Linked DNA regions of Diceros bicornis minor. The protein of the gene in region 3 purifies or fractionates together with the protein of the main gene of each other region. This does not show direct contact. Links are inferred from orthologs where the notes say so. Each region holds a gene or a part of one and is shown on either strand. Other genes may lie near its edges. The genes, in order: UPF3B, SMG7, UPF1 and UPF3A.

What was found.
Region 1: the proteins of UPF1 (region 3) and UPF3B purify together in Homo sapiens (co-immunoprecipitation; 16 studies listed by BioGRID and IntAct, with this or other methods). This does not show direct contact. The link is inferred for Diceros bicornis minor from reciprocal best matches to the Homo sapiens genes UPF1 and UPF3B.
Region 2: the proteins of UPF1 (region 3) and SMG7 purify together in Homo sapiens (affinity purification with western blotting; 7 studies listed by BioGRID and IntAct, with this or other methods). This does not show direct contact. The link is inferred for Diceros bicornis minor from reciprocal best matches to the Homo sapiens genes UPF1 and SMG7.
Region 4: the proteins of UPF1 (region 3) and UPF3A purify together in Homo sapiens (affinity purification with western blotting; 5 studies listed by BioGRID and IntAct, with this or other methods). This does not show direct contact. The link is inferred for Diceros bicornis minor from reciprocal best matches to the Homo sapiens genes UPF1 and UPF3A.

What each region holds. Positions count from the first base shown.
Region 1 is NC_080781.1:110,330,069-110,338,031, forward strand, and holds the start of UPF3B (regulator of nonsense transcripts 3B), read right to left. Parts: upstream 3,006-7,963; 5' UTR 2,919-3,005; coding exon 2,763-2,918; intron 1,864-2,762; coding exon 1,757-1,863; intron 1,587-1,756; coding exon 1,480-1,586; intron 1-1,479. UniProt on the Homo sapiens protein: Involved in nonsense-mediated decay (NMD) of mRNAs containing premature stop codons by associating with the nuclear exon junction complex (EJC) and serving as link between the EJC core and NMD machinery.
Region 2 is NC_080743.1:83,979,135-83,986,794, forward strand, and holds the start of SMG7 (nonsense-mediated mRNA decay factor SMG7), read right to left. Parts: upstream 3,005-7,660; 5' UTR 2,970-3,004; coding exon of another isoform or gene 2,941-2,969; intron 1-2,940. UniProt on the Homo sapiens protein: Plays a role in nonsense-mediated mRNA decay. Recruits UPF1 to cytoplasmic mRNA decay bodies.
Region 3 is NC_080759.1:6,387,480-6,394,663, reverse strand, and holds the start of UPF1 (regulator of nonsense transcripts 1), read right to left. Parts: upstream 3,017-7,184; 5' UTR 2,824-3,016; coding exon 2,602-2,823; intron 1-2,601. UniProt on the Homo sapiens protein: RNA-dependent helicase required for nonsense-mediated decay (NMD) of aberrant mRNAs containing premature stop codons and modulates the expression level of normal mRNAs.
Region 4 is NC_080748.1:87,791,857-87,799,623, reverse strand, and holds the start of UPF3A (regulator of nonsense transcripts 3A), read right to left. Parts: upstream 3,016-7,767; 5' UTR 2,999-3,015; coding exon 2,813-2,998; intron 2,578-2,812; exon of another isoform or gene 2,214-2,577; coding exon of another isoform or gene 2,040-2,213; intron 1,889-2,039; coding exon 1,782-1,888; intron 1-1,781. UniProt on the Homo sapiens protein: Involved in nonsense-mediated decay (NMD) of mRNAs containing premature stop codons by associating with the nuclear exon junction complex (EJC) and serving as link between the EJC core and NMD machinery.

The DNA.
Region 1 (7,963 bases), on a different chromosome or scaffold from region 3:
AGACTGAAATAGAAGGAAATTGTGGAGATAGGCTGAAAAAAACAGAAGTGAGGCCACACCATGGAGGACCCTGACTACGAGGCTAAGGAGTTTGGACTTTTTTTCGCAACTGCTATTTTAAATCACTACTTTCAAAAAGATTAATTTCAAGGCAGTATAACAGACTGAATTATACAGAGATGGAAAAAATGGAAAATCCTTTAAGTTTAGAGACAGTGGTTGTCTAAGCATTAGGTGAGAGGACATCAAGTGTGAAAGTATTAGTAAGTCTAGATGAACAAGATATTAAAAAACAATAAATTGACAAGATTCATCATTTGTTTAAATGTATGGGATAAAAAGAGAGGAAAAAAACATAACTCAGGGGCTGGCCTGGTGGCGTAGCGGTTCAGTTCATGTGCTCCACTTCAGCGGCCCAGGGTTCATGGGTTCAGATCCTGCATGGACCTACACAATGCTTACGAAGCCATGCTGTGGTGGCATCCCACATACAAAAAATAGAGGAAGATTGGCACAGATGTTAGCTCAGGGACAATCTTCCTCAAGCAAAAAGAGGAAGATTGGCAACAGATGTTAGCTCAGAGCCAATCTTCCTCACCAAAAAAACAAAAAACAAAAAAACACAACTCAGATTTCCAGGAAATCATTGCTATCTACTGGAATAAAGCTGGAGTGGAGAAGTAGCTGGTTTGGGGGATTAATAAAAGCTGGAGAAATACAGTGACAATCCTTCAACTTTTACTGGCATATTCCCTGACAAAGATTTCATTTTTACCAACTTTGAAGTAACACTGAAAAAACATAACCTAACAAAAATACACATCATTTACCTAAGATTGCAAAGCCAAAAGCGAAGTGGGAAATGACAGCTTGGACATTCTCTGGCTAAATGCTGCTAGCAGCAGATAATAAATACAAAGAGAGTTAAGACAAGTTTTTCTTCCCTATAGACTCCTGGATACAAAGTGGGGGATCTACAGGTTCAATGTTTTAATTACATACAACTTAGAATGTTAAACAGTATTCTGAATGGGAACTATTAGCTTAACGGATTTGAATTAAATAAATAAATGTTGGTCCTTGAAGCAAGATGAGAAGTAATTATTTAAAACTTGTCATACAAGTTTAAAGAGTCATTTATCAGTATTAGTGCTGAAACTAGTCAATAGTCAAAACAACACATCTAATCCAGGGCAAAAAATTTATCACAGGAGGAGAAAACAGTGGCAATTTCATTCAGTTGATCAAACTACAGAAATCACAGGTTAATAAAAATACCCGAGGGCTGTGAAAAGTAACATATCTATTTATAAGACAGTAATAAGCTTATCAACGGTGTAAAACTCTAAATGTTGCACATTTCATCACCCAGGATTTTAGAAAAGCTATGAAGGCATTGAGAAGAAAAACACTGTGATACACACATTGTCTTAAACATACAAATGACAAAGAAACTCCCCTTCTATTACAAGGACTCACCTTTATTGTCAAGGAATACATAACCATCAAAGCGATCCCTGAACAAAATAATGTCCTCTTGGTTTTTAAAGTTGATGTATGCCCTGGCATACATATGAGGATACAGACTGCAGAGAGGAAAGCAATTATGTAAATGTGCTTTCAGGTGTCTGGCTGAATTACAAGTATGCATATATTAAAGAGACAGGCTCAAAAATCAAATGGAAAACAGCAGTAGGATCAAGAATGGAAGAAACCTTTTCATTGACCCCCTCCCTCTTTTATTTATTTATTTTACCTAGTATCATTAGAAAAAAACTCAAAATAATCATGCTCGGGCATAGGCTGAAGATGTTCCTGAAGCTGCTCCTTGGTCAAAGTGGGAGGTAATCTCCGAATGACCACCTTGAGAAATGAATAAGGAAAATAAAATGAGTACAAATCAATTTTCTGTCGTACCTGGAAGAATCACCGTCCCCGAAGAAAGCTGGGCTTTAAAAGATGAGATCACTTATAAAAACCCAGGAGAAAAAATTTTTTTAATGCTCAGAATTAGTCAAACATAATGGGAACGCTGTTTTTAAAAACTTAGAAATGAGAACTGCCTAGAGCAAGGAAAACCTCACGTTGCATTAACTCGAAGCCCCGCAGTTTACTAGGTTTTCGCATCATTTTCTCTCATTCGTTTTCCAACAGATGTAGTGGTAAGAAAATAGTGCGCCAACCCTGCTCTTTTGTGGGTGCCACGAACTCTGGATTTATTAATATTTCCCTACCACATCCAACACATCCTAAACCACAATCCTTCCCCATTCAGCATAAAGAATTCAAAACGCTAAAGAATACCAAAAATTCCCTCATTGCTCCCAAAATAGTATGCACCTGATTTGGCCCGAGACCATTAATCCCCCCACACTCCTTCAACTTGCTTCCGTTAATACTCCTATCACAAACTACTCCCACCCTTGACGGCCCCTTAACTATTTAATAATTATCCCCAATCAACCTTTCATTCCGCCTTCTCTTTACTATCGCTCCCCCTCCCATTATCATCTCCCAGCTCTGACCTAACCCCTTCTCGTTTGGGAATCCCCTCCTTTTCCTCACTCTCACTCCAAGGCTTGGCCGGGAGAGGGGCGCCCCGCTTTTCGGACGAGTGGATGAGACAGGGTGATGTGATCTGCACTCAGGTGAAGAAACAGAGGGGGACACTGGGAGAGGAAGAGGGCAGCCCCATTCCCAACCAGCCTCCACGAGTGGCGGACCCGTCCCGCCCTCTCCTGGGCCAACAGTCGGCCAGGCACCTTGCTCAGCGCCTCTTTCTTCTCCTTGTTCCGATCCTGCTTATCTTCCCCTTTGGTGCTGTCCGCCGAAGCCCCACCGCCGCTGCTTGTAGCCCCCGGGGGAGTCAAGAGGGTTACTCGCTTCTCCTTAGGCCTGTGCTCCTTCTCCTCCTTCATGGCCACGGCTTTACTCCTCAAAGCGGCACCTCGGCCTAAACGCCGCTACGCCGGGCACCTACGACTCCCGGCCCACTCCCGTCAGAGCTCCGCCCCCAACAAACGCCCCTAGTGATAAGCTGGGGCCCGCGTTCCATTGGGCCCAGCCAGGATCTCGCGAGACTTCAGGGCGTCCGGGTTCCCTCGGTGGAAAGGTTTTAACACCTGGTCTTAACTTCCCGCCCGCGGAGTCTCCGGACCGCCCAATCGCTTCGCGGCCCAGGCTCCCTCGGGGCCCGCTCTGCGCAGGTCCTTAGCAACTCCACCATCTTGACTAGAACGACTCTTTCGTGGACTACAAATCCCGGCATACAAAGCAGCTACCCGCTTTTTGCCCAGAGTTCTGGAACCATCGATATCTTGGGGTCTCTATTTATAAGTACAGTAAATGGAGTAATTAATTTTGAAAGTTTAGTGTTTTTCAGATCAAAAGATAGGTTCTGCGGGCTGTACTTCGCTTCGTTTTCCTCAGATAAACCCGATGTTATCCAAAGTTTACCTCGCTAGGAGAGCGATTGGTATGTTCTATCATTGATTCTAAGCGTGCTTTCAGAAGCTCTAGAATTTTCTTTTTATATTAAGATTCGGAGATACTTAATAAACATTCATAAGATACTGATATTTAAAGAAGTAATATGACTAGAACGTATGAAATTTGTTTTCATCTCCCTTTTTTAAGTAAAAGGATTGTATGATGGTACTGATGCCCCACAAGGAGGAGAAAATAAAATATAATCCAACTTGCTTTAGATGGGATCACCCTCCTTCCTGCCTTAAAAAACGGCAAGGATACATTATTTATAATAGCCCGAAACTGGAAACAATCCACGTCTGTCAACGGGCAAATGGGTAAAAAAATGGGGTATATTCGTAGAATGAGATACTACTCAGCAATAAAAACGAACTGATATGTCCATCAACATGAATGAATCTCAATATGATTAAGCTGAGTGAAAGAATCCAGACACAAAGAGAGTACATGCTGTATAATCTCATATCAAATTCTAGAAAAAGTAAAACTATAATGATAGAAAGCAGATCAATGATTGTCAGGGGATGGGGGAGGGAGAAGGGATTGATTGCAAAGAGGCTCCAGGGGACTCTGGAGTGATGAAAATGCTCTTTATCATGATTGTGGTGGTGGTTGCATAACTGCACACATTTGTGTAAACTCATTGAATTGTACACATAAAATTGCTGAATATTATTTTATGTAAATTATACTTCAATAAAGTTCAGCCCTCCAGAGTTTAAAAAAATGCAGAATTCGAAAACTATTGCCCTAAATGATGGAGCATTTGTATTTCATCAGATGTAAGATACCACTGCATTTAAGACCACCATTTTTATTATTATTTATATATTTATTTATTTTTGGTGAGGAAGATTGTCCTTAAGCTAAGGTCTGTGCCCATTTTCCTCCATTTTGTATGTGGGATGCTGCCACAGCATGACTTGATGAGCAGTATGTACGTCCATGCTCAGGATCTGAACCTGCGAACCCTGGGCTGCCAAAGTGGAGGGCGAGAACTTAAACCACTATGCCACGGGGCCAGCCTAAAGACCACCATTATTTTATATACCAAGAAAGAAAAAAATGCTGCCAATTGAACTGTGACACACCAACAATTTTAAGATGCATCCTGATTTCAGAGGTGTTAAAATGTGAAAAAATATGTCAGAATCAATTGAACATAGTATTTCTGTATTATGTGCAATTAAGGAAAAAGCAAGAGAAATGGGAGAGAAGGGCAAATGATAAACTAGAGAGATACACAGACACCCACAGTGGGCAGGAACCATGTTAAAGATGCAATAGAAGCCGAAGGCAGAAAGCTGGCTCAGGGCCAAGGTCCCATTTTTGCTGACGTCTAGAATATATTACCCACATACTGTGCTTAAATTTTCTCACCCGTATTGTGAAGCATATGCTTGAGTTTCTAATTCCTGTTGCCAAGACCTTTTCCACGTATTTGGAATCTGTTACTCGATCTTGCCTCCAGTATCTGCCCATTCTTACAAGTCTAGCTTAAGTATTGGCCTCTGACTTACTACCTAGCCCTCCATTTACATCTTTTTTTTTTAATTTATTTTATTGAGGTCATATTGGCTTATAACATTGTGTGTATTTCAGGTGTACATTACTAAATGTCAGTTTCTGTATAGACTGCATCATGTTCACCACCAATAGTCTAGTTTTGAACCATCACCATACAGATGTGCCCCTTTACGTAAACTCTTTTGCCCTCCCCCCATCCCCTCCCCCTCTGGTAACCACCAATCTGTTCTCCGTATCTATGTGTTTGTTTGTAATTTTATTTATTTTTTTTTCCCCAAAGCCCCAGTAGATAGTTGTATGTCATAGTTGCACATCCTTCTAGTTGCTGTATGTGGGACGTGGCCTCAGCATGGCGCGAGAAGCAGTGCGTCGGTGCGCGCCCGGGATCCAAACCCGGGCCGCCAGCAGCGGAGTGCGTGCACTTAACCACTAAGCCACAGGGCCGGCCCCTATGTGTTTGTTTGCTTATCTTCCACATATGAGTGAAGCCATATGGTAATTATCTTTCTCCATCTAACTTGCATTTACATCCTGATGTATGCCTCTGTTTCGGAATGCTCACCGGCTTTAAACCACCAGCTACATGTCAGTCATCAGAGTTGGTGTTCCAGGGCTCAGTCCCCAGACCTCTTTTGTCTACACTCACTTCTTTGTTAATCTCATCCATTCTTTTGTTTTCAGCTTTTCTCTCTTCGATGACAACTCCAAAATTTATATCTCCAGCCCATACCTCTCCCCTGAATTCCAGACACATATATCCAACTGCCCCCTTGACGTCTCCACTTGATGTTTAACACGTTCAGATTCTCTGAATATATCCAAAACCGAACACTTGATCCACACCAACTGTATTAGTTTCCTATTGCTGCTCTAACAAATTATCACAAATTTAGTGGGTTAAAATAACACAAATTTAATATCTTACAGTTCTGTAGGTTAAAAGTCCAACACGGGTCTCACTGGACTAAAATTAAGGTGTTGGCCGAAATGAGTTCCTTCCAGGAGGCTCTAGGAGGGAATCCAGTTCCTTGTCTTTTTCAGATTCTTGAGGCTGTGCATATTTCTCAGCTCGTGGCCCTTTCCTCCATCTTCAAAGCCAGCAACATAGCATCTCTCTGATCCTGCTTCATCTATGTCTCTTTCACTCTCTCTTCTGCCTCCCCCTTCTGCTTTTAAGAACCCTTATGATTACATTGGGCCCACCTGGATAATCCAGTATACTCTCGCTATGATGTCAGATGATTAGCAACCCTAATTCCCTTTGCCATATAATTTAACATAGTCACAGGTTCTGGGGATTAGGGTGTAGACAGCTTGGGGGGTGCATTATTTTGCCTACCACACACTGTAAGGTTTCTTTCTTCTTCTTTTTTTTTTGGTGAGGAAGATCAGCCCTGAGCTAACATCCATGTCAATCCTCCTCTTTTTTTTTTCGCTGAGGAAGACTGGCCCTGAGCTAACATCCATGCCCCTCTTCCTCCACTTTATTTGGGTCGCCACCACAGCATGGCATGACAAGTGGTGCGTCAGTGCATGCCCGGGATCTGAACCCTGGCCACCAGCAGTGGAGCATGTGCACTTAACCGCTACGCCACGAGGCCGGCGCCTAAAGTTTCTTTTTAATTAAACTTTTAATTAAAGTATGACACATGTATAGACAAGTGCACACATAATAAATGTACAGCTTGATGAATTTTCACAAAGTGAACACACTCATGTAACCAGCACTGAGATCAAGAAACAGAATGTTGCCAGCATTCCACATGCTCCCTTAGTGTCCCTTTTCAGTCACTTCCCCCATCAAGAATACAACCATCCTGATTTCTAACACCATTGGTTAGTTTTGCTTGTTTTGAACTTCACGTGAACTGGATTACATAGTACGTATTTATGTTGGGCTTCTTTCTCTCAACATTTGTGACTATGAGATTCATTTATGTTGCCATATGGAGCTTTGAATTGTTCGCTCTCATTATGGTATAATATTCCAGTGTATGAATCTTCCACAATTTATTTATCCATTCCACTATTTGGGGTGCTGCTCTGAACACTGTAGTACATGTCGTTTGGTGATCATATGTATGCATTTATGTTGGATACATACCTAGGATTGGAATTGCTGAATCATGGAGTAAGCATATGTTCTGCTTTAGTAGATAGTGCTAAAGAGTTTTCCACCGTGGTTGTGCCAATTTATACTCTTACTAGCAGTGTGTGAGAGTCCCGATGGCTTCACACCCTTCCCAACACTGGATGAGTATGTAGCGGTAGCTCATTGTAGTTTTACTCTGCATTTCTCTGATGATTAATGAAGTTGAGCATCTCTTCACATATTTATTTTTCACTGTATACCTTTTTAACCTTTTGGTTATTGCACCATGTCAATATATTATTTATTCCAAAGCAAAAGAAAAAACAAACAAAATCAAGGGTTGGGGAGGTGTAGTGGCTCCTTTTCACCAGCTAAGGGGGAAGACAAAAGAGAGAGACAGAGAGAGAGGGAGAGTTATAGAACTCTCCCAAACTTCCTCACATCATTGATCCTCACTGTTTCACTGTACACCCCAAGAACCTTCTTCCCGCTTTGCAAGCTGGGCAATCTCATGGTAGGGACTGCTTCCCCACCAGAAAAGCAGAAGGAAAATGTTTACACATGCAGAAAAACCTTACTGTAAAAATTCTTCCCTGGCCTTCATTGGGCAGGCCATTTTTTATTAGTTGTATTGCCCCTTTTATATTAATCCTTTCACAAATAAAACCCCTTATGGGAATCATCTGTGACTGCCTGGCATTCAACTCCACTCGGCATAATGAGAACTATAAGACTAGCATCCATTTTCAAGATCAAAATGACTTTTATTTAAATGCTGTTGTGGTCGTCGTTGTTTTTAATTAATTCTTGTCCCAGACCAGCTCTGAAATTTACCTAAATCCCAAGCAGACAATT
Region 2 (7,660 bases), on a different chromosome or scaffold from region 3:
ATCTTTAAGGGACTCTAGGTCCCGTGCCTGTTCAACTTTAGCTGGAAAATATAGGTTATTTAAACACTGTGTTCATTCTTATTCTTTTCTCCCTTCCTCAGAGAACTAAACTCATCTTGAGCTGTGTACCACTGACTCCACAACCTAAGGATAAGCCTTCCCTACCATGTTGATTTACAAAACATAAGATACAGTAACACAGAAGGCTCCCAAAGCCAAGACATCTTCTCATTAAAATTACCACCACTCTCTCAATCTGCTTTTCATCATACTTTTCTAGTACCACTGCCACCACCTTATTTCTGGCCCTAACTGCCCACCATTACACTTAAACAGATTCATCTTCCAACTTCATAGCTATGAACATGTAAACTCCCTTCTAAACAAATCATCTCAGATTCTCCATTGTCCAACCATTTTAACTACAAACTACAGATCATGATATTCAAGACCCTCTCAAAGACAAGCACCTTATCAATAGGCTTTCCCTGATCCCTTGTCTATATAAAAGAGCATATCCCTATCTTGCTTTATTTTTCTTCCTAGTACTTGTTACCACCTGATGAACATATTTATCTGTTCATATGTTTGATTGCATCCTTACACTATAATATACCTTTCCATGTTCACTCTTTTGTTCACCACTGTATCCTCAGTGCCTGGAATATAGTAAGCTCTCAATATATATTTGTGGAAAGAGTGGATGAACCCAGACATGTTGCACAGTATAGATAATTTGGAGTTAGAGGACCTACATTTGAGTTACAGAGCTTCCGCATACCAACTATATGATCCTCAACAATTTTAATTTCTTTGGGCTATACTTTCCTCATCTGTAAAAGGAAGGGGTCAAACAATAAGCTATAAAACTCTTAAGTTTTTCCAGCTGCACCACCCTATATTCTGTTTAACTAGACTGAATACCTTGCCCCATCCCCAACCTCCCTATCCACATATCTCTGCTCCTGTTTCCTTCCATTTGAATTCCCCTCTTCCCAATCCCTACCTGTCAGGATACTGTTTATCCTTAAGGTCCATTTTAAGTGCCAATTTCTCCTTGAAGCCTAATAAACTGTAAACTCTGTAAGAGGAGGGTGGAGTTCTTACTTTTCTATTCTCAGCAGTTGGTACAATGCCTCCCATACTGGTGATCAACAAAATGACTGATGAATCACGAGTCTATGAATGAGCAATGAACAAAGGAAGCTCTTCCTGATTCCCCCAGTTGCTCAGGTAATCTGCCTTTGGACTCCTCTAACACTTGGCATCTTTAATGATACTTACCTTATTTTATTCTGTGCTGTTATTAATTTATTTGCCTAATATATACTAAACTGCAAATTCTTTAAAATTAAGGACTGTCCTGATGGCTTCCATATCCCCCCTCTACAGCATCCCACAGATCTTTGCCAGTTTTTTTATTAAGTTTATCTGATATGTTCAACAATAAAGGGATAACAGAGACAAAAAAGACCTCGGTATACAGATATCATTCCAACTACCTTATAGTCATTGGGCACCCATGCTGTGTGGATCCTGTCCCTGTTGAACTCAGGCATTCAACCATAATTCAAAGGTCTCATCATTCTCTCCTCTCCACACTCTGCTTAATAAAACTACTACTACTTTCAGAAGTAGAATAGCCACCCTCATGTGTCACTTAGTACATACGTTCTCTTGCAATATACATATAGGGATCCACTCACACAGCAATACTTTCACTAAACAGCTAAAGTGACTTGTCTGCTCATTTCAGACTTCTAACCCATCCAAATCCCTCCTCCACAAGATATGAAACTACTTTTTAAAATATCTTCCCATAAGCCTGCCTTTCTTAGTTCTGCTCCTGAAAGACAAAGGATACCCATTTTAAGGTTTTCCTTCCCCTTTTCTAAGCAGTAGCAACTCCCCAATTAATCTCAGGCTCTAACAACCTTATTTTTCTCTGTCATCAAGACTTTGACCCTCATTTACCTCTCCCTCCACGCGCTTACTCTGCTTCTATGGAACTTTCTTGGCTGCACAACAGCTAGTCTTTCCATTCAACACACTCTCACCATCAGGTACTTGGTTCCAATGTGTCTGCATCTTCCCCTCCTAAAATGTGTATCAATCGCCCCCCACACCTCACCCCAGACATAATCACATACTCACACATACTCTGCACCCATGAGTCACTCTACCTCCGACATACAAGTTCCTTACACCACTCTTGGTGAATGCACACGACTCTCAGAATGGTATGTTCAGACTACACTGATTCTAACCCAGTTTCTTCCGGGGAACCCAATCCCGTCCATAGTACCTCCCTCTTTCCTCACTTCCTCATCCACTCCCCCTCTTTATGGCCCTACTCCCACCCCACCAACTGACTACAGATGACATTATTCCTCAGCACTTCCACCCCGAGAATGAAGAACAAACTCCAGTTTCCTGCAGTCTCCCCCTCTTCTGGTCCTCCCTCCCCGGCCACCCACACACCCCAGGTGTACAGACTTCCACCGCGTCTTCTCCTCACGCATCGCTCCAGCCAATCCCACGCCACACCACGTTTTCCCCGCCACCGGGATGAGACTCCTCCACACCCACCTCCACTCGGGGTCGCCGCCGCCTCCCCGGGCGCCTCCCCCACCCCTCGCCAGCGAGCCCGCGACCCCGGGCGCGCGCACACATATTCTCCCACTTCCCTAACCTCCGTCCTCGCACCGAGGTGAGCCGGCTTCGCTGGAACTCCGCCCGGCCCGCGGGGGCCAGGCACCCAGGTGTGTGCCCGCTCCGCCCCCTCCCGCGGCTCCCCTCGCAGCCCCCGCCTCCCTGCCAGGGAAGGAGAGGACACAGCAACTCCCCCGCCACCCCGGACATAGCACCTCTGGGTCTGCTGCTCCATGCCCCAACCGTCGGCCCGCTCCCCCCACGGACGGGGCCGACATCGGCACTCACCGGAGATACTGCGCGCTCTGCAGGCTCATCCTCCGCCGCCGCGTCTTCCCGCGAAGCCTCTGTGTGTGTCTCAGGCTCCTCGGAGCGGCCCCGCGGCCCCGCGGGTGCTGGCGGCCGCCGCCATCTTCCTCTCCTCCGGCTCCTCCTCGCTTGGCGGGGGGGTGGGGGTGAGTGAGGGCGAGGGGGAGGGAGCGGGGAAAGCTGCTCTCGCTGCTGCTCCGGCCCCTGGGGCGCAGGGACACTCCGACCCGGGAGGGGGAAGGGGGAGGGAAACGGGAAGGGGGCGGGGGGAAGAGGAGGGAGAAGCGGAGAAAGGAAGTAGGGTTCCTCTCGCGAGATTTCAACGGCGCCGGTCCCTCCCGTTGATTTCCGCCGCTCTGTAGCGCACCGTTTTGGGACCAACTAGCTGTGCGGCGCCTATGCGGCTGCTGAGCTGCCCGCTGGAGGCGCTTGACTGCTTGCGGCCAATCCACCCCTCTCCTCCCGCGCGAGGGGGCAACCCCAGCCTCACTGGGAACATCGAGCCCAAGTCAACTGGGAGTTACACTCAAAATCTTCCCCCGTCTTTCCACTCCACCCGATTTCTCTCTTCCTTTTTCCACTCCTCCACTCTTCCCTACCGGAAACGCCGCCCCTTCCTCCTACAGTTCCGCCCGCCAGTCTCTCGACTCTTGTCTTCCTTTGCGCCCTAGAGAATGACGCTGACCCCCTCCTCTTTTCTGCGGCCCCTCCCTCTGCACGCTGGGAGACTGTGGAGGGTATGGGGTGGAGCCCAGGGAGGAAGAGAAAGGAAACCAATCGGATTGGATAAGCAGCTGCCATGGCAACCGCAGGCTGTAGTTGTATTGTCATAGTAACCAGTGTGTGCGGACAGGGTGACCCTCCCTGCGCTAATGGATTCTCGAGAAAGTGCCCAAGGTTCCCCCTTGGCTTCCCTTCCATCCGAGGCCTCCCCCAGGTTGGGGATCCGGGTAGTTCTCCCGGGCGGTGAAGTTCATTTCCTCCTCCCTTTCCCCTTCCCGCAGCGATAGGGGAGACCCCGAGGCATTCACCGTGGGCTTTTCCACCCGCCTGCGGGCGGGAACCACCTTCATAGTTTCCTGTCAGGGCCGGGCGTGGAGAGGCCTGAAGGCTGGCAGGCGGCGGGCTGGAGCGGGGAGGGCGCGGCGGCGGCGCGAGGCGGCGAGGCGGGCGAGGGGTTTCCCCACAGCCGCCGCGGGCTCTGGGAGGCGGGATCCCGCCAGGACGGGGTCCCTGAGGGAGGAGAACGGCACACGACAGCCGCGATCCCTCTCCTGCCGACAGGGACAGCCGACTTTTCCCGGTGGGTCGACCCCTTACAGAAATCCCCCAAACCCCACCCCACACACACCCTCGGCGACCGAGCCTCCTCGGAGTTCCCCGCGTGGCCTTCTGGCGCCGCCTCCTGCCGCAGGGAGGCCAGAGTGAGAGTGGGAACACATCCTAGAAGGCTAACAAGTGGTCTCCCAGCATTTAGAGCCAGGACGTGGCAAGACGCTGTCGATTGCCATCCCTCTCAGAGACACCGCCCCACCCCACCCCCACCCCCTGGGGGTCCCGTTAGATTATCAAAAGCAGACCTCCAGGTTCCTCCCTCCTCTGCAAACTTCCTCCTTCTCTGATGGGTCTGCAGGGTTGTGGAATTTGTGTATCTTTTGTGTTGAAGAGGAAAGTGTTGGGTAAAACAGTATCAAGAAAAACAGATACTTGTGCGAAGTTCCCATGAAAGGCGTCTAGGAAAAGGATTTTCATTCTTAGAACAAATCTTTTTGAATGTCCAGTGTGTGTATTTTGTGTTCGGTTTGGGGCTAAAAAGCAGGAGTAAAGAATGGGGTCAATAATAATATGGAGTGTATGAGAAGTAGCTGGAGAAATCGTCATCCTAATGATTTGAAGGAATTATTTGACATTTTACAAATTATATTTTCGATTCGTATTAGGGAATCGTTTAAGCAGCTGTCACAAAATACTTCAGGATATGTAACGGTATAAAACAGCCCTCACTGGATAGTTAAAAATCAGGATTTTAATGGGCTATTTTGGTTCGGCTCCATTTGGGTACCTGGATTCCTGCTGTCTTCCATGCTAGGTGAACAGGCGCTTTCAACATCCTTCCCTGAAGTTGCAACAATTGAAAGACTGGACCGGTGTCTGTTTGGAGTATCATGTATAAATTTGGAGGAAATGAAAGTACAGGCTACTTTGAAATAAATTCTAAGGACAGCGTATCATTAAGGAAACAGAAACTGAACTATGCCCCTCCCGCTGCAAACGCCTACTGTGATGGCCGGGTGACGCGCGGTGGTTGCAGCTGTACAATGCTCCCTATCATCGCTGCACCAACGGTTCGCCCACTTGCGGGAAAGAGAGCCACCTAGTGAGAGATTGTTCTCATCCCTGGTGTAGGATCCTGCTTTTCCTTCAACCCTGAGAGCCCAAGGCTGGAGATTACTACTACATATTCCCTAAAATGCCCTACATTTCTTTCCTGAAATTTATTATTAGATTTTTAAAATGATTTTAGCCAGAATAAAAACTTTATGTTATGTAAAATAATTAGTCCCTTAATCATCATCATCATAACACCTTTTATGTCTGTGGCTTATATCTCCAGTATAAACAGTATATGAGCATATATTATGACACTCCTGATAAGCAGTCTGGGAAAATATTACTATCTTCTCATTTTGGAAATAAGGAACCTGGGATCAGAATGATGAATCCTTTTGTTGTGTTGTTTAATCAATAAACATTTACTGAGCACTTATTATATTTCAGGCACTGTCATAGTGAAAGAGACATAGTCCCTGTCTTGGAGGAACCAAGCTTCTGGAAGAGATACCAGAGTAGAGAAATGATTAGGATGCAATATTATGGGTGCAATAATTAAGGTAAGAACAAAGTACTTTAGGTACACAGATGAGGGTGAGAAATATAAATAATCTTTGTATTTTATAGCAGCTTTCCTAAGAATTTTATAAGATTCTTCAATAGCTTTACAATGTCCCTATAAACTAGATAGAACTAGTAACATTTACAGTTTAAAGGTTATAAGAGATTGATGCCCTTATGTGAAAATAACTTTCAAAAATCAATAGGACTCAGAAAAATTATGACCCAGAATTTACATATTGCTTAATGTACATTTTCGAAATCTCATCTCTTTCTACGGCCCCCCTCATCAACAGATTTTTAGAATACAAGCGTCTTTCTGCAATAGATTTTATTCACTTTTTCCCTGGTAGATATAGATTATCTAAACCGAAAGAAATTAGAGAGGTAAAGCTGTCTCACTTTGTTTAATCCTACCTGATTGTAAGTTGTTCAGTTTGTGCCTAACTGATTTTAGGGAAAGATCATAAGCTAGCAGACCCGAGTGTGCCTCCCAACTCTGCCATCTCAGTCTCTGAACTTCAGTTTCTTCCTTGAGCAAAATGGAAACCTTACCTACTACAGGCTTCCTGTGAACTTTAATGATGGTATATATGACTGAGTATGTGAGCGCCTGACATACAACACTGGCTCTTGATAAATGTTAATTTTCTTTTTGCCCTCTTGCTCTTTTATATCAAGCTAAAATGAATGATTTAGAACTACTGCAGCATAAAGTTATTTTTTTAAATAATAATTTATCTAGTCTTTATCTATAATACTCATAGGTCTCACCACATACCCACGTCTATTCTCATTCAGTGCTAGAAGATAGATTTCTTCATCCATGACTCAGATTACAGAAAAGAATACAATATCAGGACATTAGGAGTCAGATTCTAGAGGGTTGAAACTTTTTAAAAACCTTATGTCACTAAAAACAACCTAATATAACTACATTTCTGCCCAAGTAAACCAAGTGGCTGGGTTTCAATCAGACACCAGGTATTTGCTGAGAAGCTACTCTGAACATTGCTATCAAATTTACCCAGAGCTTTGGTAACCTGACGATTGATACATAGCAAGCCTCCTCCCTTTTTATAATAATAGACATCTTACCTGTTTCATGGAATCTTAACAAGCACTAATTTATTTTCATATTTAGCCTACATATTCTGAATGTTTCCAAATCATGTGCACAATTAGGTACTTAATAGATGTGTTTTTGTTTTGATGAGAAGGATTTATCAATTGCAGTCCTTAAGTACACAATGTGTGTGAAGCTGGCCCATGCTCTCTTTAGTACCACACCTCAGGCCATGGAGCTAAGTGATTCAATCAAGTGAGTGATTCATTCTCTTCAAATATCGAGTCAGATACAAATGGACGGTTCATCTCAGGTCTCCTGTTGCTCAAGATTTCATAGACCAAAGGTCAGCAGCCTTTATCAAACAGTTCGCCAAGTGTATATTTATTTATTCACTCCTAAGAGGGAGTCACTGAGCCTGAAGAACGGTCAGCAAGCACTGCAGTCCAAGACCCCAGAGAAGCAACTTTTGGTCTGGGAGACAGTGAGGTGATAGAGAATGGTGGTCAGAACTCTCTCTCCTTCTCCATTTTCTTAATATTTACTAAGGGAAACCTTATTAATCTTCAAGAATTTCTCCCAACTCCCAATAAGAAAACACTTCTGGGAAAGATCCGCACCTTAAAATCTTATCTTCTAATTTAATGGACACAGACCATCTGGAGAAGACAAGAAGAAATGCTCATAGGGTAGACCGACGAATATTAAAAAAGAATATTGTGGGGCCGGCCCCGTGGCGTA
Region 3 (7,184 bases):
CTGTCATAAAAAGGAATGGAACAGATACTGCTACACCATGGACAAACCTTGAAGACACGCTCAGTGACAGAAGCCAGACACAAAAGATTACATACTGTATGATTCCATCCATATGAAACGTTCAGAGTAGATAAATCCAGAAAGATTAGTGGTGGCCTGGGGTTGGAGAAGGGAGGATTGACGGGCTGAGGGTTGCAGGGTTTCTTTCTAGGGTAACAAAAATGTCCTAAAATTGATTGTGCTGGTGGTGGCATACCTCTGAATGTATTAAAAGCCACTGAATTGGACACTCGAAACGAGTGCATCATATGGTATGTGAATTCTATCTCAATAAAGCTGTGAAACAAAAGAGACCACACAGCAGTTGACAATTCACAGCCACTCATCCAATAAGACGGAATGAAAAGGCATTCACAATGGGAGGTTTTTTGAGTCTTTCTGGAAGCCCCATCGTATAGCTGGTTATACAGCCAACTCCTGAGGACAAATAAGGAAAATCCTCCCAAATGCTGCAGGCAGCCAATGCCACCAACTGGCACAGGAGATAATTAACTTTTTTCCCCTTTGTGATTCTATTCAGACTTTCCTATGCCCAAATTCAGGGCCTCCTCTTGTGACACAAAGGATATCACTTCCCTTCCCCAAATACAAATCAAAAGTTAGGCTATAGGTGGGTGGATCCTTAGGCTTCATTAAAAGGAAGGACGGACAGACCCTTCTGATGTCATCAGAACTCAAATGAGCTCAACTGCAAGGTTTACCTTCGGTGGAGCGTTTTAATGCTATTATTTTGTACAGTGTTCAGGTGCAGGAAAATAAATTGATTACTTCAACTGAAAGAGAAGGACACGCCTCACAATTAATCGCAAACAGATGGCAAGGAACAAAACTAGAACTCAGAGCTGCCCCAGGTTTGCTGTTTTATATTGGCTGCAGTTAAAAAAAGATTTGCAGTAAAACGACTACCTTTCACAACCCTGAGCTGCTACAGAGCATGGCACACTGTTCAACCAAGAGATCTTTATCCTCAGCCTTCCAGGTATGCTGGCCACAAGTTACAGGCAGCACTATCTGGTCCATTCATACACGAGTCCAGATTTCATGAATGTTGAAAAGTAACAAAAACATAGCTGCTACCTTCATTTCACAGCTGTGGAAACAGAGGGGTCTACAAAGCTTGAAACTACAGGCGTTAGCAGCAGCCTCCAGCGGCTCCTTCATTTCTCCATGCAAACTCCCCTCTCCTACCTCCCTCCACCATATGTAAACAAAACTGAGAAACATACATACTTGTACACCTGTTCTCCCCAATGCCCCACCCACTGGACTTCTATTTTTAAGGAATCTGGGGTTAGAATGAGTCAAATGTTTTCTGCTTGTATTAAGGGCTAAAAGAAAGAAGTGGGTGGTCTACCCACTGGAGTGACTCAACCAACTAGAATGTAAGCCCCCTCCCCCAAGGACAGGATCTGAGCTCATTCCTGCTGAGGATGGGTGGCTCCCCAGCCCTGGCAGTGGGTCCTCAGAGCAAAGGACACCTGTGACAAAGTGAGCCTCTTAGCTCCTCCCTGGTTGAGAATTCAGGAAAATAAACCTGAGGGAGGTGCTGGGCACAGGGAAATTTGGTAAACGTAATCTGAGATCCAGAGAATGACCGCAACATTCCCTGGGACCCCAGCCAGACCCCTCTCCCATCCTGGGGCAGGGACCCAGGTCACCGAAATGTACGCCTGATACTTCTCATAACCAAACTCAAATTTAAAACACCCAAGTAGGCTTTGCCAAACGTCCATATCATTAAAAACAAAAGTTTCTGACGTGGCAGACCCATTTATGTAAAACTCACTATCACTGCCCCATTGGAGGAACAAACTCAAACCCAACTTTTCCAAGGCAGGGCTGTGCAGTTACGTAACAGGTCAGTTTCAGCAACAGGCAATGCAAGAAGGAAAAAAAAAACCCAACCTGCCTCTTCAATAATCTTAATAGCCAACGAGCGTGGGGCTCTCGACTGGAGGCAGAAATTCCATTTCTGTTCCAGGAGCATCTACCGTCACCCTCGCCAGCGTCCCTGGGCCCGGGGAAATTTGAACCCGCTGCTCAGTGGGCATGACTGGGGGGGGTGCCCAGATTGCTGCGACCACAGGCAGCTAGTAGGGCAGGGCGGCGGGACTGGCCAGAGGAGGGACCGGGGCAGATACCCCCGGAGCCGCCTTGAGCAGGGCACGGACCCAGGTGGAGGGGTACTGGGGGGCAGATCACCCCCGACCTGGCCGGAATCAGTGCTAGGGCAGGTCACCCCGGACAGGCCCGGAAGAGGACTTGGGGCAGGTCACCTAAGACCCAGCCTGAACTAGATCCTGAACAGATGACCCGGACGCAACCAGAGCGGGACTCAGAGCGGGAACCGGGGCAGGTTCCTCCCGGCAAGTCATGAGTGAGATCCCGAGCCAGGTTACCCGGCAAGTCCTGAGTGAGATCCCGAGCCAGGTTACTCCGGACCCGGCCGGAGAGCGGGACCCGGGGCGCATTAGCCCGGCAAGTCTCCGGCCGCCGAGAAGAAGCCCGTCCGGGCTTCCGGCGCCGCCATGTGCCGCTCACCTGCGCGTCGAGCTGTCCGGCCGCGGCGCCCGCGCCCACGCCGACCGGGCCCCCTGCGCCGCCGCCGCCGGGGCCGCCGGGGGGCGTCTGCGTCTGGCTGGGGATGGTGAAGTCGGTGAACTCGAACTCCGAGCCCTGCGTGTCGGCGCCAAGCAGCTCGGCCTCCTCGGTGTCCAGGAAGGTGAGCGTCTGCGAGCTGGGCCCGTACGCCTCCACGCTCATGGTGCCGCCGCGTACGGCCCTCAGGCCGGTTCCGCGCCGCACTCGAGCCCGCCGCCGCGCTGAGGCCTAGGCCGCAGGCCTCGGACTTCGGACCGCCGCCGCCGCCGCCGCGCTCCCGCCCCTGGACCGGACCAAAACGCCTGCCGCGGCGCAAGCCGGGCAGAGAGTCACGCGCGCCGAGCCGCCCCCGCCGCCGCCGAGCCCCTGAGCGCCGCCGCTCCTCTCGGAGCCGCCCGCCGCTCGCAGCTCCCAGCAGGAACCGCCGCCGTGCGCGTGCGCGAGCCCGACGCCGGCGCAGGCGCGCGCGCTCCTCGCGGCGCCTCCAACCGCGCCCGGACGCCCGGAGCCGAGCGGGCCGACAGGAGGCGCAGCGCGCGCGCGCGGGAGGCGGGGCTTCCAACCGCCGCCGCGGCGGCCGCACGAGGCCGTGGTCCCGCCCAAACCGCAGTTCAGTGGCGCCCGGGCGGCGGGCGGTGAGGGTGTGGTGGTTGTGGCCGTACCGACTGCGACAGTGCCTCGGGTTAATTGAGCAGTAGCTGAATGCATTACGTAGGTGGTCTTGGAACACCCAATTGGAGAGGCTTGGCGGCACGGCGCACCCTCATGTCTCGGAGAAGCTTCCTGGGCCTCGGTTTCCCCATCCGTAAAATGGGGGTGCCTGACCCATAGTAGATGCTCACTGTGCACTGGTTGAATAAACAAATGGGGGCAGTCCTTAGCACGGAGCCTGGCACGCATAAATGGTGGTTGCTGCTGCTTCGGACAATAATATTATTCAAGAGGCAGTATATGATAAAGCGATTGGGAGCGCTTGCGCTGGGGTGAAATCCAGATCTGGCCACCTACTGGCTGTGTGACTGTACAAGTGAATTCGCCTTTCTGAGCCTAAGGTTTCCTCCACTAGAAAAGGATGATAATAACCATCAAGATGGGATGAAGAATAAGTGAACTACTATTCACTCCCTTAATTGTTAAGTAAGGAAAGTTCCACATGGACAGGGGCTGGCTTTGTTCATCACATGGTCTTCCCCTTGGGAAGAGTAATGCCCACACACAGTAGGTGCTCAGTAAAAGGTTGTCCAAGTTCAGCTACTGGTTTATGAGCCTTAATCTCCTAACTTCCAGCCTCTAGCTTCCTTTTTTGTAAAGTGTCTTGGAGAACTCGCCACTTCCTTTCTGTCCCAAGTTTCTGAGGCTCTCTAAATACTTGAAGTCAGCTCACAGGGCTCCTGGTTTGCACAGCTGCACTAATAGTTCCTGATCCTGCCTGGTTCCTCATTTTCCAATATTCCTGTCACGACGTATAAGAGGTTCCTTTTTCCTTCTTCACATCTTTTCTGGTCTCCTACTATGCACTAAAATGTGAGAATATAGAAAATGAATAATTAGGTGCTCCCTCTCCAGGAAGACACAGTTGAAGAGGGAATCCCAACAAGCCAATGGATGGTTTTGATAAAAAACAAAGCCCTCTTTGGAAAATATCCAATTGAACTGGTAAAAGCATATAAGACCAATGTGGTAACACTATCAGTTTTAAATGCAGGCCCCTCTGCACCTTTGATCTAGCAATTCCACTTCTAAGGCTCTCCTCTTTTTTTTTTTTTGCTGAGGGAGATTGGCCCTGAGCTAACATCTGTGCCTATCTTCCTCTACTTTTTTTTTTTTTTTTGGTAAGGAAGATCAGCCCTGAGCTAACATCCATGCCAATCCTCCTCTTTTTGCTGAGAAAGATTGGCCCTGAGCTAACATCCTTGCCCATCTTCCTCCACTTTATGTGGGACGCTGCCACAGCATGGCCTGACAGGTGGTGCGTCGGTGCACGCCTGGGATCCAAGCCCGGGCCGCCAGCAGCAGAATGTGCTCACTTAATGGCTACGCCACGGGGCCGGCCCCTACTTTTTTTTTTTAATATGAGAAGCCACCACAGTACAGCTTGACAAGCGGTGCAATGGTGCGCACCTGGGATCTGAACCTGCGAACCCTGGGCCACCAAAGCTGAGTGGGCACACTTAACCGCTTGTACCACCAAGCCGGCCCCTAAGGCTCTCCTCTTATTTCCTACATATACTCACATTTGCAAAATGACATTTTGGATGGCACACTAAAGCATGTCTAATACAAAAGAAGTCCGTAATGGAATAATTGAAAAAAAAAGATATAAACATATAGAAAACAAATAACAAGATGGCAGAAATAAGTCCTTATCAGTAATTACATTAAATGGAAATGGATGAAACTCTTCACTTAAAAGGCAGAGATTGTCAGATAAATTTTTTTAAAAAACACAATTTAACTATATGCTGTCTACAAGAGAGTCACTTTAGATTCAAAGACACAAATAGATTGAAAGTAAATGGAGGGGGCCGGCCCCATGGCTTAGCGGTTAAGTGCGCACGCTCCGCTGCTGGCAGCCTGGGTTCGGATCCCAGGCGCGCACCGACGCACTGCTTCTCTGGCCATGCTGAGCCTGAGTCCCACATACAGCAACTAGAAGGATGTGCAACCATGACTTACAACTATCTACTGGGGCTTTGGGGGAAAAATAAATAAATAAAAATTAAAAAAAAAAAAAAGAAAGTAAATGGAGGGGCTGGCCCGGTGGCATAGCGGTTAAGTGCGTGCACTCCACTGCAGCAGCCCGGGATTCAGATTCCGGGTGCGCACCGACGCCATGCCATGGAGGAAGATGGGCATGGATGTTAGCCCAGGGCCAATCTTCCTCAGCAAAAAGAGGAGGATTGGCATGGATGTTAGCTCAGGGCTGATCTTCCTTACCAAACAAAAAAAAAAATAGAGGAAGATAGGCACAGATGTTAGCTCAGGGCTGATCTTCCTTACCAAAAAAAAAAAAAAAAAAGAAAGTAAAGGGATAGAAAAAGATATTCCATGCAAACAGTAAAGAAAAGAGAGCTGGATTGCCATATTAATATCAGATAAAATAGATGTTAAGACCAAAATTGTTACTTGAGACAAAAAACATTATATAATGATAAAAGTTCTAATCTATCATGAAGATATAACAGTTATAAACATATATGCACCTAACAACAAAGCCCCAAAATACATGAAGCAAAATGTGATAAAATTGAAAGGATAAATAAACAATTCAACAGTAACTATGGTTTACTATAGAGCAATGGAGTCAAAGGCTCAGGGAGATTGGAATGTTAGAGTGGATTTGTCATTTAAGACTCACCCTCAGAGGGTCTAGAGGATACACCTTTCACCATGATTGTGAGAAATAAATTTGTGAGGGTAGCCCCAGCATCCTTGAAGAGCTCTGTGATCATTCTTCTTTGTAGGCCAGAATTTATAGTGCTACCTGCTGCCACTTATTTGGGAAACCTAAATGCAAGAGAGTAATTGGATCCCAGAGTGTCAGGGGCCAAGCGGTGGCACTCAACTACCAAAGGCAAGGTGGGTGTGGTCACCATAATGGACATTAGAGTCGAAGCAGCAATCAGAAAAGTCTGACTCACAGAGACTTTCTGCGTTGACTAGTTGATCATGGTGTTCCTAGAAGTGAAATAGATGGGAAGCCTACTAAATTCTTACTTGCTCTATACGAGCCGAAAAGTTCTAGGTCAAGTGAGCAGAAGTATAACTTGAATCATAAAAACAGAGAGTCACAGCCCCCTCAATCAATTCTCAAAGTTGAGGCAGTTCACAGACCCAGAACCCTTTGAATGAAGGGGAGGCTGGGTCCCCTCAAGGAAGGACCCTGGTGCACTACTGGAATTTTATGCTGTAAATCTTTCTCCCAGACTTTCCCTGTGGGGCCTACAGCCCTTTACCAGGGTGACTATGCATTGGGGAAAGGGAAATAATCAGACCTTTCAGGGACTAATGGACACTGGCTCTGAACTGACACTAATTCCAGGAGACCCAAAATGTCTCTGTGGTCCACCAGTCAGAGTAGGGCCTTATGGAAGTCAGATGACACTGGAGTTTTAGCTCAGATGCATCTCATGCTGGGTCCAGTGGGTCCCTGACCTCCCCCATCCTGTGGTTATTTCCCAAGTTCTGGAAGGAATAATTGGAATAGATACACCTAGCAGTTGGCAGAATCCTCACATTGGTTCCCTGACTTGTGGAGTGAGGGCTATTATGGTGGGAAAGGCCAAGTGAAAGCCACTAGAGCTTCCTCTACCTAAGAAAATGGTAAACCAAAAGCGATGCTGCGTTCTCAGGGTTCCACAGGTGAGTGCTGCCATCAATGACTTGAAAGATGCAGGGGTGGCAATTCCTACCACATCCTCATTCAGCTCCCCTGTTTGGCCTGTGCAGAGGACAGATGGGTCGTGGAGAATGAGAGTAGATTATCATAAGCTTAGCCAGGTGGTGATTCCAGTTGCAGCAGC
Region 4 (7,767 bases), on a different chromosome or scaffold from region 3:
TCATAGCAGCACTTCCTTCTAGTTGCTGTATATGGGACGCGGCCTCAGCATGGTGGGAGAAGCGGTGCATCAGGTGTGCGCGCAGGATCCGAACCCGGGCCGCCAGTAGCAGAGCTTGAGCACTTAACCGCTAAGCCACGGGGCTGGCCCTAGAACAAACTACTTTAGATAAAACCTTTATGCCAAAGTATCATCTCTCAGTTAATTACAAAATGGATATTCTTTAGCAAAAAATCAAAATCAAACAAACAAAACACGAACTGAGACCTTGTTAATGACTTGGGGGAGACCCTTTAGGTCAGTTTCTCTACTGCACAGAGTCAGGGTTAAAATAACTGGTCCTGGGGCCGGCCCCGTGGCTTAGCGGTTAAGTGCTCGTGCTCCGCTGCTGGCGGCCCGGGTTCGATCCCGGGAGCGCACCAACACACCGCTTCTCCGGCCATGCTGAGGCCGCGTCCCACATACAGCAACTAGAAGGATGTGCAGCTATGACATACAACTATCTACTGGGGCTTTGGGGGAAAAAATAAATAAATAAATAAATAATTATAAAATAACTGGTCCTCAGAGGCTGAAAACCAAAGGCATGGTTATTCAAAGGTCATCCCTCACCATGCGTCACCACTGCGACACCACCTAGTGAGGACCGTTCACAGGCGACAATGCTGTGCTGTAAAGAGATCCTTCACTGACTTAGAGAAAACCTGCAGGTATTTTAAGAGTATTTCTTGGAGCACATGGTACGAGGTCTACAAAAGAACGAAGCCTTTCTCCCGTCTCACAGCTACCGATTTCCTTCATAGGCAGGAACTTTCAGCCCCACGTGACAGATGAGAACACTGAGAAATCAGGAACTTGAGAGGACGTGTTAGTTAAAAGGTGGGCCTGGGATCCCACCTGAGACCAGTGCCCGTCTTCCTGTAACGGCACCAGTTTTCCTAAACTTTAGTCATTTGAAAACCATCTTTCTGTTGGGTTTTTAAACTATATCTAAAGTTACCTCTTAGTGATATTTTTCTTTGAATGGACTGACGTTTTTTACTTAAATGCATTTATTCTAAAGGAAAGTTCCTATGGCTACCATAATTGAGAACTCACAATATTGAGAATAGAAACAATAACAATGATAATGAAGATCATGATAAAAACATAATGAAAATCACTAAATTCTAGGTGAACTGTCACCTGTTGAAGGTCTAACCTGGTCTGCTCCCTCTGTGTCATTAAAAGGGAAATTTGGAAGTGTTACAGTGTTGTCAGAGTCATCTTATTACCAAGCTGTAACAGGGAATTGAAAAAGACATGACCGGGCATGCGCAGGGTCGGGGTGTTAGTGATAGAAGGGAGTACAAGGGGGCTTCTGGGGTCGGGGATATTCTGTTTCTTTATCTGGTGTTAATTATATGGGTGTGTTCACTTGTGAAAATTCATCAGGTTATACATCTATTATTCATTCACTTTTCTTTGTTATATCTTAATAAAATCTACTTTAAAAAGCTCTATGAAATAGTTTATTGATATCCAAAATTGAGTAATATGTTGTTAGTTTGTCTGTTTTTCTTTTCAGACTACGGTAGTGACAGCAGAGGCATATTCCAAATCTGTTTTAGAGGAATTTAATGATCTGCCTACTTAGAAATAACTTAGAAACAAAGGTCTGCACTGATTTCTGGGTACGTGTGGGAAAGAAGATGGAAACGAAGATGGCTCCTATTATCTACAAAAATTTCCACCACTGACAATACCTCACAGCTGTTTAACGTCGGTAAACAGCTTCTCACCTGAGATCGGCAGTGAAGAACTCGAAGGAGTCGTGCGCAGGCAGCGGGCGAAGCTGCTGTTCCAGCTGCTCCTTGGTGAGGCTGGGAGGAAGCCGCCGGATGACCACCTGGGGAAAGGTCGCTGCCTGGGTTTTGTTTCACTATCACTGTATTAAGCTTCAATTATTTGAATGCTTGGTCACCTGTGTTTATGCTCAAAGGAAAATCTAAACCAGGCGTCCAGCAGAAACACACATTTTAGGAAAGGATAAGAAATACCTGGAGAACATAGCTGTCAAAAGGGTAATGAGGGCTGAATAATTTAAAAGGGATCCGTGGGGTCAGAAAAGCCTGCGCATAACCCCTCTTCCTCGGAATCATTTCATTACTACCACGACACGTACGGTCCGTGCCCGAGCTGCAAAATAAGACCCGCTCCTCTCTCTCCTGCATGTGGGCCACACTAGGAGGCAAGACACACGCAGAGAACACCAGCAGGAGCAAACCCACGGGCACCGTCCTCACTGCCCAGGGGAAGTCCGCCTCCTGTCCGCAGTGTCCACACCGCGGGTCCTCTCCAACACCTCACCAGCCGTCCGGGCTGCCTCTCCCGGCTGCCGCCGTCTTCCCTGGACCGGACCGGACCCTGACAGAGCCGCCGAGCCACCGACCCCGCTCGTGCCCCCTGCGGCCGCGCTCCTCGGCAGTGCGGACAGCTACTGCCAGGCGCCGGGGAGCCCAGCGTCTCAGCCCCAGCGGGAAACGTGCTCAGGCCCACAGGGCATTTCTTCCTCCCCAGGCCGGAAAAGCTCGCGTCGGAGGGCGCCGAAAACTCGGCCAGCGCTGCCCGACCGCTGTCCGCGGTGCTGAAGGGCGCCCCGCCCAACCCGCGGCCCCGCCTCACCTTGCTGAGGACCGTCCTCCTCTCGCGAGGTTGGCGCGCAGCACCCACCCTCGCCCCGCCTGACCGCGCTAAGAATTCCCCTTCCTCTCGCGAGGTTTGCTTGCACCGCCCCGTCCTCACCCCGCCCCTTCCTTCGCCCCGCCCCCACCTTGCTTAGGGCCGTTTTCTTCTCCTCGCGAGGTTTGCCTGCGCCACCCCCACAGCCGGAGGACGCGGCCGGTGGCGACTCCCGGCGGAACTGGACTTCCAGGACGGCTGCCTTCTCCCTCCCGGTTGAGCGCCGTGCAGCAACAGCCGCCCTGGGGCCTCCGGCCCCCTCCTTCTCCGAGCGCATCTCGTACCGGTCGCGGAGCCACTGCCGCCTCTCGCCCGGGCGGAACCTCGCGAGAACTGGGCCGCTGGGGCTTGGATGGCGCCCGCCCCTCTCCTCCGTTCCCCTCCGCCCCCTCCCCCTGGGCCACCCCCTGGCCCCGGGTATTCCACTTTCCGCGCGCCCTCTTGGCCCACGACCTCCGCCGCCGCCCTGGGGCCTCTGTATGGGGGCCCTGGAGCCGCACCTCCCACCAGCCCTGCCGCCACATTGCGCAGCTGTGCGGTCACTGGGAAGTGGGAGCTCGACCTCGGAGGGTCTGGAGTCTTGTTCGTTTGGTGTCAGCAGGACATTCTGGCCCAGGGGACGATTGGCTCAAGCAACAGCCTTTGCAGGTGTTGGGAGAGAGGGAGAATCTCCCTCTGCCCTTTGCCTTAGGTTCTTATGGCTGGCCAAATAATTAATAAGACAGGTTAGCAGGAGAAAATAATACCAAGTTTAATAACAATGTATACGTGGGAGAAAGCAGGGACGCTGCGTTTCTCAACACAATAGCAGAAATTCTAGTCTTAAATACCATGTTCAGCCAATGACAAAGGAGGATGTTGGGGGGGGGGAGTCAGTTACAGAAGATTATCACTAAAGCCCAGTAAACAAGAGTGAGGTTATTATGCAGATTTAAGGCCTCACCTTCCATAGTGATAAGTCTCTAGAAATGAGGCCATCCCCCCTCTTCCCAAAACAGAGAGGGAGATCCCTTTACAAATGGAGATTTCCCTTATAAATGTAAATGTTTGTCTGGCAACTCCTCGCAGGGCCATCCAGAGAATGTGGCCAGAGAGACATAATATGGGCTTGTTGATGCCTTTTCTATTGTAACATCTATTTTACATTATATTACAGCCATCAGATAGAAGATCTGTTCCAGTATCAAAGAGTTTGATACTATGTCAAATTCTTTAGGCAGTTAGTGGGGGAGGTCAAATGTCCTCAGAGAAAACAACCAAGGTAAAGAGAGAGATTTCAGGGTGGCCAAATCTTGATCTCCCACACAGGGCTGAACCTGCTTCCCACAGAGAGCTGGCTATTTGGCCGAATAGTCCTGCGAGTTACATACACGTGCTTAATAAAACAGTTACAGATATTTATTGTTCTCAAAGTGTGGATGCAAAATAACCAATAAGGATTATAACCCAGGAGGGCCTTTTCCAGAAAGTAAGAAAGCGTTCTGGAGAAGAGTGGTTTTCAGTACAGTCTTACACCTTTTTAGGACAAAAAACATACATTAAACATGCCCAGGATAAAATTTCAAAGAGGCATTCAGTTGCAAATTAGCAGGTCAACATGACCCTGATGTTGGGGAAAGGGACTAATCCGCATTACCAATAGGGCGTAGGAGGGGAGGTAAGCATTCTTAAGAGAGGATGTTCTTTAATGGTTAAAGTGTATGTACAATGTATGTTTCATAGGCCATAAATCAGGCTTGTTTAGTTCAAGCCTAGAATCAGGTTTAAACCCAAAGGGTTACCCTTTGTACGTCAATGTGTGAAAATCTCTTATCACAAGATAATTCGAACTTTTTGGGGGGGATCAGAATTGGCCACTTCAAATGTGTCTCTTTGGCTTGATTATTTTGATAAATAAATAGCAAGCAATAGGGCATATTGGAGCATATGAGGAAGTCATTTGGTGTAAAACTAATTTGGCCTGAGCTTGTTTTTCCAAAAGGGCCTGTGGCCTTTGAAGATATATTGTAAATCTGCTTTAAGCAATTAACATGTCCCAAAGACAAGAACAAATGCCGTTAAGATAAGGATGCAACTTCCCCCACATTGGCATTTCCTTAAGGATAAGCATTTCTCCCTAGGCTAGGATTTGATTGCTGCACTCATCCTGTGACCACCCAACTCCAGACAACAGACCTGCTGCCTGCTGTGTCCATCAATCCCTGTGCAGACAGAGTAATCTGACAAGGGCAATCTCAAGACTATTGTAAAAGGGACATTGCAATCATATGAGATACATGCACTTGGACAGTATATAACCGCTCAGTACACCCCACTTCTTTGGTGCCCTTCCTTCCTTGGGGAAGGAGGGCCCCAGGCTATGTGGTCCTCAAATTTGGCTCATGATAAACTCACCCCAATTTTGATTTATAGATTGATTATAGGTTATTTGCATCAACAATTTTTAAGAACAAAAGACTCTGAAACTCTGACCTTCCCCTAACTGCCTAAAATAATTTAAGATAGAGGGTCTGTTCCAGGAAAGAGCTAATACCATATGATAACTGTAATGTAATGTAAAATGTTTCTTTCAGGTGGGCCCAACACTTTTTTAACAAACATTTACATTTCCATCTCCATGTGAATTGCCTTCCTTCCTTCCCTTTGGAGCCCAAAACCACTACCCCCAACATCCTCCTGTGTCTTTAGCTGAAGATGATATTTAAGGTGTTGACTTTGGCCATTCTGGTGAGTTACTCAGCTTTCCTGGGTTTCTCCCATGTATACACGTTATTAAACTTTGATTTTTCTCCTGTTATTCTGTCTCATGTCAATTTAATTCTTAGACCACCCAGAAGGACCTAGGGGGTAGAGGAATTGTCTTCCTCCTCTACAGTTTCATCAGAGACTAGCAGTTACATATAAGAAAAACAAAACTGTTGACAAAGAGCACGAATGGGTGCAGGGCTTTACTATATATATGGAGTGGAATGAACGTGCCAGAGTTGTGAGCAGAAATTGGCCGGCACAGAAAGAAGACTCACTTGGACTATCCTCAGGAGCCCAGGCGTCAGCACTGACTGCTGTCTGGATGATGTGCAGGCTGGATTAGAGGAACTAAGAGCTCAGACCCACGGCACCCACAAAACAGGGCGTTAAGGTTTTCCAATATAATTTTTATTCAACTTTTTGAGGCTCTCAATTAATGGGACAGCAATTAAGCCATGATCACATTTGTGTATTTTTCTTTTACAAACATGCAAACGGTAACTTTCAATTAGAATAATTTATATGAAAGTTCTTCACTTTTAAGTGCCACATTTTTTCATATTTCCTCATATATTTCTTTATTTATGTTGGCTGTATATTTCATTCATAGCTCCTTTCTCCCAAGAACTTCAAATACAAACAAAAAAATTAGAGAATGGAGTGACCAAGGCATTGAGAGATTAAGGGAGTCACTGGTAGATACTGGAAGCAAATCCAGACTTAACTCAACCAGCACTTGATCCCACTCACTATGTATGGACACAGTTGAAGTGTAACATTTCAAGTGGGCCAAAAGACTCAAAGAGCAGTTCCCAAACTGAGTTCTCTAAAACGCCACAAAGGGGGCCAGGCACAATTTTCAGTATTTCATAAGGTCTAGAGGAATTGCATTAGAGACAAGCCTATGATCAAGTTGCACACACTGGATCCAGTTTCCTTTTTTGCCTCAAACCAACTCAGTATAGAAAGCCTAGTTATGCTGATCAAAAGCTCTGATGATCTTATCTATGATAAAAAGGAAAACGCGGTTGCCAGACAAAATCTTTTACTACATAGTGAGGGTGGGAGGTAGGGGCAAAAGGGGCTGATAGGAAAAATTTGGACACCATTCATTTTAAAAATCTGAATGTTCAGCAGTCTTTAAATACACAGCACATACAGATCTTCCTCGACTTCCAAGGGTTTTATGTCCCAATAAACCCTTTGTAAGTTGAAAATACTGTAAGTCGAAGATGCATTAACACACCTAACCTACCGAACATCATAGTTTAGTCTAGCCTACCTTCAACGTGCTCAGACACTTACGTGAGCCTACTGTTGGACAAAATCAACTTACACAAAGCCTATTTAATAATAAAGTGTTGAATGTCTCACGTAATTGATTGAATACTGCAAGTGGAAAACAGAATGGTTGTATGGGTACAGAATGGTTGTCAGTGTGTGGGTTGTTTACCCTTGTGATCATGTGGCTGACAGGGAGCTGCAGCTCGATGCCGCTGCCCAGCATCACGAGAGGATTGTACTGCATATCGCTAGCCTAGGAAAAGACCAAAATTCAAAATTCGAAGTATGACGTCTACTGAACGCGTATTGCTTCTGCACTGTTGTTAAGTCAAAAAATCCTAAATTGAACCATCATATATGAGGGACTATCTGTATTCTGAACATCTTTTTTTAAAACTGCCCTCATCTATTTGCAGGTCTTCCTTCTTTAATTTCTGCATGTTATTCAGAAGTTAATCATCTAACTCAATATCTGATTTCAGCTCTTTAGTGATGTTTCTACATTGGCATTCTTTTATTACTCAGCCAAAAAACACTGAAATTACCTAACGGAGAGAAGAACTCTTGTCCTCAGCTTCTCATTAGGCCCTGGTATGTGCAATGCCTTGTGATATTTCTTGTGTCCATATTTTGCTGCCACCACTATGAAGCCACGGCTTATGCTATGGCCTCTGCCTAGCACGTCCTCCCACCTTCCTGAAGCCCTCTCAGCCCAACCGAACACCTTCCCAGCCACGGTGGCTTCATTTGAGATCCCCAGAACCTTAATCACACTTCCATTTGTTGCACCGTATTCAATGCTCAAAGAACACTCCCTACAGCCCAGAATGATGACTTACTCAAGCAGGAGCTACATTTTATTCCACTCTGTATGCCCAGCCCAGGCCTGTATCTGGCACCTACAGGCATTCACATGTTTGCTGGATATATATTTCTTGTAAATGTAGCTCGCAAAAGGCCCAAATGGTTTTTTTTCCCCAAGTAACAGCCACCACTGTCAATTTTCAAAGACCC